Linked DNA regions of Sus scrofa. Each later gene encodes a partner of the first gene's protein in a complex. Links are inferred from orthologs where the notes say so. Each region holds a gene or a part of one and is shown on either strand. Other genes may lie near its edges. The genes, in order: ROPN1L and DYDC1.

Region 1 (4,397 bases):
CTCTCACATAAACAACAGCAACATATTATCAGATCCACCTCTTGGAGTATTGACAATAAAAAGAAAAATAAACAAATGGGACCTAATAAAACCTCAAAGTTTCTGCACAGCAATGGAAACCCTAAACAACACAAAAAGACATCCCACAGAATGGAAGAAAATCTTTGCAAATGAATCGACTGACCAGAGATTCCTCTCCAAAATTTATAAACACCTTCTGCAGCTCAATACCAAAAAAACAAATAACCCCATCAAAAAATGGGCGGAAGATCTAAACAGACAGTTCTCCAAAGAAGACATACGGATGGCTGAGAAACACATGAAAAGTTGTTCAACATCACTCATTATTAGAGACACGCAAATCAAAACCACTCTGAGGTACCACCTTACACCAGCCAGAATGGCCATCATCCAAAAGTCTACAAACAAGAAGTGCTGGAGAGGGGGTGGAGAATAAGGAACCCTCTTACACGGTTGGTGGGATTGTAAATTGGTGCAACCACTGTGGAAAGCAGTATGGAGATTCCTCAGAAAACTAAACATAGAACTCCCATTGGATCCAGCAATCCCACTCCTGGGCATCTATCCAGAGAAAACACAAAACACATCTATCGCAAAGACACATGTACTCCGATGTTCACTGCAGCACTATTTACAATAGCCAAGACATGGAAACAACCTAAATGTCCATCGACAGAGGAGTGGATCCAGAAGATGTGGTACATATACACAATGGAATATTACTCAGCCATGAAAAAGAACGAAATCAGCATTTTTAGCAACATGGATGGACCTAGAAACTATCATGCTAAGTGAAGTCAGCCATACAATGAGACACCAACATCAAATGCTTTCACTGACATGTGGAATCTGAAGAAAGGACAGACGGAATTTCTTTGCACAACAGATGCTGACTCACAGACATTGAAAAACTTATGGTATCCGGAGGAGACAGTTTGGGGGGTGGGGGGATGTGCTTGGGCTGTGGGATGGAAATCCTGTGAAATCAGATTTTTATGATCATTATACAACTACAGATGTGATAAATTCATTTGAGTAATAAAAAAAATTAAGAAAAACAAGAGATGCAACGAGAACGTGCTGTGTAGCAGAAGAAAATCTACTCAGTAGTTTGTAAGAACCTATATGGGAAAAAAGAATGGATATATTTATATGCATGACTGTATCATTTTACCATACACCTAAAACTAATACACCATTGTAAGTCAACTTTACTCCAATAAAATTAAATTAATCAAAAGAAAAAAAAAAAAAAAGTCCTTTTCAAGTGAAACGTTCTGCTCCTACAGCGAGGTAAAGGAAAGGACTGCGAAACCAGACTGCGCAAGCGCATTGCTCCACCATTTGTGCGCGTGCGCGGCTCCAGGGGGTGGAGCCCGCACATGTTTTGGTTGCTTGGATACCGCTGCGAAACAATAGCGGTGGCTTGCTGCCCAGTTGCTGGGTCTGCGCTAGAACCAGCGGTTGGCCCTCATTTTCCGAGGAACCGGAGGAGCGGGTAAGAGCCTTCGCCGGCTGCCGGCGCCTCAGGAAGCCAGCCTCTTGGCCTGCCCTCAAACCCAAAACTGCCGCCCAGCCCCGGTCCCCGGCCCCTCCAAACCCGAGGAAAGGTGGGCAGCCTGCCCTGGCCTGGTTTAAACGCACCACCCCCGGCCTGGTTCAAGATCCCGGACCCCGCCCAGCCCCGCCCCAGACCCTCTTCCTCCACTAGGCTTCAAACTGGGGACCCTGGACCCCGTGCTCTGGCCCGGCCCCTGGGTCCCCTGGCCGTCGCGTCTCTCCGAGTGTCCTGGGCTGGCCAACCAGCCTTTTCTCCCTCCGCAGCACACCTTGATTCTTTCCAGCCTGGTCCTGGTCTGCGGAGAGCGATGCCGCTTCCCGACACCATGTTCTGCGCACAGCAGATCCACATTCCCCCGGAACTGCCAGACATCCTGAAGCAGTTCACCAAGGCTGCGATCCGCACCCAACCCGCCGACGTGCTGCAGTGGTCCGCGGGGTAAGTTCCACCGGACTGGGACCTTGGAGAGCCCCCTGGTCCCCTTTGCCCAGTCGTGCCTAGTGAGTCCTCCTTCCTGGACAATGCTCAGTACCCTGAGTACCGGCAAAACCTTTTTTAGCATTGGTATCTACACCTAATATAGTATTGTAGATACCATACACCTAATGTAGGTACCAGTGGTTTTGGTATTTACACCTAAGTATCTATCTAGGAAGCGTCGTGGTTTATTGACCACGAGACCAGAAATTACTGCAAAATGCCCATTTATCTACAAAGCAATGGCAGCTCTATTGTTGGAGAGTGATATTTATGCAAGTAGACTAAAATTTATAAAACAGTTACATTGGGTAAAAAGTTTCTGCCTTGTGTTATAAACTCGAACTATCACAGTCCCTTTATTTGTGAAATGATTTTTACAAGGAAGAATCTTATGGTTATATTCTTTGTCTTCAGAAAATCCTCCAGGATTGAGTACCTTTTGAGGTTATTGGAACCAGAAAGACTAGTTTATGTCAAGTAACCATCCCAAGGCTGCTGTAAAGTTAAACTTTGCCCAGCTTAGTTCAAGCATATGAGCGTCACAGTTTATTGCAACAAACATTCTGCTTCTAGGAACAGACATTAAGTTAACAAAATATGTCTGAACTTGTCCTAAGAGCGTGAAAGTTGAATTTGAGGGGGTGGAGAGAGAAAAAGGGGATGAGATATAAAATTTCTTTTAGTCCATCAAATATCTATTGATCTACATTTTGTTACATGTTCAGAGATGTTTTCTAACTACTTGTATCTTTGAAATTATTACTGGTAGCCCTGGATGATTTAGTGCCTTATTTTCCTGGATATGGCATTTCTCTGACAGTGGTAAGGTTGTGAGGGCAGCAAATGATGTGGCTTCAGCAGCCATTCTCAGCTGCATGCACCCACAGAGAGTGAGCTTCCAGAAGACCCTGCCTGGCACCCCTCACCCTCCAGCCAGACCCCCGGGGTCCTGTCCCCCTCCTGTCTTGTTGCCCCAGACTCTCTCTGTGTCCCAGCTTCTTCCTAGTATTAGCACCAATATCCATGTCCCAGAAAGGAATGATTGAGTGGGAAAATACTGAAGAAAAAAAAAAAATACCAGGCAGGAAAGGTGAAGAGTAGGGGAGGTTGGCCCTGAGTTGGCCAAACAGGTGACTTCCCTGTTCTGAGTGCCTGAGACCCGAATAGGCAGAGATGCTTGAAATCAAGCCCCTCGAGAAGCAGGGCCAAGTCCCCAGCTGTCAAAATGATACTACTGGACCATGCCCTTGCACTTGGGTCACATGGGGCCCTGACCTCCACCTCCTCTAGCAACATCTCAGGACCTCTAGTGGCATCTACTTGATGAGATTAGCATGTGTCGTGAGACCCCCAGGAGTGCAGATGGGGGCCTTGAGACAGGGGCCACCATTCTCCCCACTCTGCAGACAGAGAAACTGAGGCATGTGGAGAATGTTAAGTCAGTTGAGTAGAGGGGCTGGGCCAGGGACCTAGCACAGTCCTCCGTCATCACTGTCTCCCTCTGAGGTCACTGATGAAAGTGCATGAAGTCAGCTGGATGCACAGATGAGCCTTCAGCAATGCATGTCGTTGTCAGGTATTTTTCAGCTTTGTCAAGAGGAGATCCACTTCCTGTAAAGGACAGAATTGAAATGCCCATGGCCACTCAGAAAACAGACACAGGCCTGACTCAAGGACTCCTTAAAGTTTTGCACAAGCAGGTATAAGATTGTCTTTGTCATCAGTCAGATGAACTTGAGATAAAGCTTGGCAGAAACCTCCCCATCATCCATACAAGCCCTGCTTCCCTTTGGGAAACCTCCAAGTTTATTCAAAGAAGGAATCTTGTATTCAGTGGCCTTTCTCTGGTTTAAAGAACCCCAAATAGGAGTTCCCATTGTGGCTCAGTGGGTTATGAACCTGACTAGCATCCGTGAGGATGCGTTTCTTTCTTTCTTTCTTTCTTTCTTTCTTTCTTTCTTTCTTTCTTTCTTTCTTTCTTTCTTTCTTTCTTTTGCTTTTTCAGGGCCAAACCTGCGGTATCCTCATGGATATTAGTTGGGTTTGTAACCCACTTAGCCACAACGGGAACTCCAAGGATGCTGGTTTAATCTTTGAGCTTGCTCAGTGGGATAAGGATCTGGCATTGCCATGAGCTGTGGTGTAGATCACAGACTCGGCTCGGACCTGGCGTTGCTGTGGCTGTGGTGTAGGCTGGCAGCTGTAGCTCCACTTAGACCCCTCGCCTGGGAACTTCCATATGCCATGGGTGCGGTCCTAAAAAGAAAAAAAAAAATGCTATTCATGATTATACTGAAATAGAATTTCTTTTAAATACCAAATTAAGGAGTTCCCA
Region 2 (3,815 bases), on another chromosome or scaffold:
GGATGTTCTGTATGGTTAGAGCCCAGAGTATGTTGGAAGCAGAAAAGATTTCTGGAGGTGAGCTTGGAAAGAAAAGTGGAGCCAGAGCATGAAGAGCTTCATGTGCTAGTCTTTGAAGGTTTAATTTTTTCTTATTTTTTGGCCTTAAGGTATGTGGACTTTTTAAAACTTTAAGGTACTATTGTGATATTTTCTAGAAACATCTCTCAGGGGTTGGGAGGAGCATCTTAGTAAATCATTTAGGGTAACGACTCTGGAATCAAGAGTTGGGTGTGATCCCTGTGCATCATGTGCCACCTGGGCTGTTCACTTATTCTCTTTGTATCTGAATGCGAGGATTAAGTGAGCCATCACTTGCCATATAGCCATTTCATGGTCAATAATGACAGTATCCCTTTTCTGACTCTTGGAATCAAGGATCCTTCAGGATTTTGAAACTATTTTAGTTGTAGCAACTACTGTGGAACATTTTTGGAAAATGCTAGAAGTTCCCCAGAGCCAGCTTGCTTGCGCCATCCCTAATGGCAGGTTCCCATGACTGGTGACAGGATATGCTGCTTGGTTGGCCTTACTTGTCTCTACTTTGATTGTGCCTTCATCAAAAATCTCCTGCACTAATGCAAAATGTTTGTCCTTTAGAAGTTTTTACTTAGCAGTTATAAATGGAGACGGAGTATCTTCAAAAGAATCTTGGGACATGTCTAACTCAAGGGCTTGCAGAAGTGGCAAGGATGCGGCCAGTGGATCCAATAGAATATTTGGCATTGTGGATTTACAAGTATAAAGAAAATGTGACCAGGGAGCAACTGGTAAGTATGGATCTTTTTTCCTAAAATTAGAAGAGTAAAATAATTGGTCCAGCTTCTTCATTTTTTATTAAAGCTTGACATTATCATTTCTTTCTGTTATAAAAATGGTATGTTTATTACATGAACTTGGACTACCTGAAAAAGTGAAAGTAGAAAAATGAAAACAAAATACCTCTATTTAGGAGTTCCTGTCGTGGTGCATCGGAAATGAATCCGACTAGGAACCACGAGGTTGTGGGTTGGATCCCTTGCCTCACTCAGTGGGTTAAGGATCCAGTGTTGCCATGAGTGTGGCGTAGGTTGCAGACATGGCTCAAATCTGGTGTTGCTGTGGCTCTGGTGTAGGCCGGCAGCTATAGCTCAGATTAGACCCCTAGCCCGGGAACCTCCATATGCTGCAGGTGCTGCCCTAAAAAAAGACAAAAGACAAAAAAAAAACAAAAAACAAAAAACTTCTATTTAGATTTTTAAGTATTTTTAGATATTCTAGTCTTTTTTCTACGTGTTCATGTTAAGATTTTTTAAACGTAATTTGATCATATTCAATTCATAATTTTAATTTTGTGCTCTTTGTTCAAATAAAACACACATTTCCCAAAATTATTATGCAGTTTCCAAATGGACAGACTATAATTTGTTTAATCCTTTCCCTGCTGTTGGAGATTAACATGCTTTTAAGAATGTTTTCAAAAATTGTTTTACCTGATGTCACATGATGTTGTTTTTAAAACAATGCTAGAGACAAGAGGAAATGGCCCAGTTGGAGCATGAAAGACAAATAGCTCTGATGGAGCAGGAAATGATGGAGAGACTTAAAGCAGAAGAGCTCCTATTTCAGCAGGTGAGACAAAAGAGTTCAGTGGTGACTGGAATTGGTGGTGTCAGCCTCTGTGTGGTGCAACCCGAGTGCTGAAAAACTCATCTCTGGTTGCTTAGATGTGGCTTTCATGTATCTTCATCCTTATGTCTCTCTGTGTTTCTTTGCTGGAGAAGCAGAAGCAGTGGGGTAGGAAGAAAATCCAGAGAGTGAGCTGTCACAGAAGCCAACGGGACAATGTCTCATTGAGACCCGAGTAGTCAACCATGTCTATGGCTGGTCCAGTGAGATCAGAACCTGCCAAGTGCTCATTAAGTCCACGGGTGACCTTGGCGGGAGCAGTGTGTGGGGGCTGGGGTTAAGCAGGGGAGATAGAAATGGTGGCTGTAGATAATGTTTTCAAGATTCTCAGAGAAGGAATTCTGTTTGTTTGTTTGTTTTTTTTTTTTTTTTCCCCTTAAGGAACAGAGTGGGAGGGGGAGTGGTTGAAGTAAAGAAATAAAGTGGATTATTCTTAAAGTTAGCTTTACATGGAGATCAGAAAAAGTTGGGTCTGAAACATAGGTTAGGCAGGTGGAAGACCCTTCTTTGATTCAGGAAAAGAGGAGAAGATGTAGGTACATGTGATGTGTAGGTTTTATGGCACAATTTTTTTTTTTTCTTTTTATGGCCATACCTGTAGCATAGGGAAGTTCCCAGGCTAGGCGTCAAATCAGAGCTGCAGCTACTGGCCTACACCACAGCCACAGCAACACTGGATCCTTAACCCACTGAATGAGGTCAGGGATCAAACCCACATCCTCACAGACACTGTGTCAGGTTCTAAAGCTGCTGAGCCGCAATGGGAACTCTTTGTGGCACAAAAATTTTTTGTTTGTTGTTTTGTCTTTTGGGGCCACACCTGTGGCATAGGGAAGTTCCCAGGCTAAGGATCGAATCAGAGCTACAGCTGCTAGCTTATACCATAGCCACAGCAACACCAGATCCGAGCTGTGTCTGCAACCTACACCGGAGCTCACAGCAACACCAGATCCTTAACTCACTAAGCGAGGCCCGGGATCGAACCCATGTCCTCATGGATACTAGTTGGGTTCGTTACCACTGAGCCACAATGGGAACTCCCTACTTGTGGCCCAAAATTGAAAGCAGTTTCTTTTTTATGAAGTAGGGAGCATGATCATCTGCTCACAATGAGGTGGTGAGTAAGATAGGAAGTGTGGAGAGAGGGGTGAAGGGTTAAAACGGTGGCTTTGGAGAAGTCCAGTTGACCAGGGAAACTTCACATCCCTTGGTAGCACTGAATTCCCTGAGAATAAGCAGTCATAATGGGGCCTTTTGGCTTGGTTTTGTGATTATGTGGTTTTCTTCACTCAGGCTTAGATATGAATGAAGAGGTGGAACAGGCAGACCCTTTGACTGAAGTGAGTTTGGGTTAGCAGGATTGGGGTGCTAAAGATGTTGCTATGAGAATGGTTGAAGAGGTAGGTCATGGAGTGTAAACCAAATAGGGGAAATTTCTCAAATGGCTCTGGACTAATTTAATTTTTTTCTTTTTTTGTCTTTTTGCTATTTCTTTGGGCCGTTCCTGCGGCATATGGAGGTTCCCAGGCTAGGGGTCGAATCGGAGCTGTAGCCTCTAGCCTATGCAAGAGCGACATGGGATCCGAGCCGTATCTGCAACCTACACCACAGCTCACGGCAGTGCTGGATCCTTAACCCACTGAGCAAGGGCAGGGTCTGAACCCGCAACCTCATGGTTCCTAGTCAGATTTGTTAACCACTGCGCCACGACAGGAACTCCTGGACTAATTTAATTTATGGAGAGCTTCTAAACCAAGTTCAAGCCTCCCGTTTATTCCTATTGTACACTACCTAATTCTACAGTCTCAACTCCAGTTTGTATGTTATAGAAAGAGAAAGAAGCCTATTATTTGGCTGTGTGGGTAAAAAAGAAAATGTAAACATGGAAAATAGCTTCTTTGTCTTACTTCCCATCCTTGATACTGGAATAGGATAATTCAGACACCTTAGGTGGATTTGGCTGTCAAAGAAAGCCTTTGCTGCTGCTTTTTTAGTCACTGGGCTTATTTTTGTGGGGAAATTGCATAGCATTGAGTTGGATGTCAAACAACCACCCAGGTAGTCAAGTATCTGCTGCAGTCACCCCAGCTTTTTTTTTTTTTTTGTCT

What was found.
Region 2: ROPN1L (region 1) and DYDC1 share a complex: the UniProt entries of both Homo sapiens proteins name them as parts of the axonemal radial spoke complex. The link is inferred for Sus scrofa from reciprocal best matches to the Homo sapiens genes ROPN1L and DYDC1.

What each region holds. Positions count from the first base shown.
Region 1 is NC_010458.4:41,918-46,314, forward strand, and holds the start of ROPN1L (ropporin-1-like protein), read left to right. Parts: upstream 1-1,381; 5' UTR 1,382-1,519; intron 1,520-1,845; 5' UTR 1,846-1,889; coding exon 1,890-2,020; intron 2,021-3,638; coding exon 3,639-3,762; intron 3,763-4,397. UniProt on the Homo sapiens protein: Functions as part of axonemal radial spoke complexes that play an important part in the motility of sperm and cilia. Important for male fertility.
Region 2 is NC_010456.5:82,190,574-82,194,388, reverse strand, and holds part of DYDC1 (DPY30 domain-containing protein 1), read left to right. Parts: exon of another isoform or gene 1-57; intron 58-639; 5' UTR 640-662; coding exon 663-809; intron 810-1,548; coding exon 1,549-1,650; intron 1,651-3,815. UniProt on the Homo sapiens protein: Functions as part of axonemal radial spoke complexes that play an important part in the motility of sperm and cilia. Plays a crucial role during acrosome biogenesis.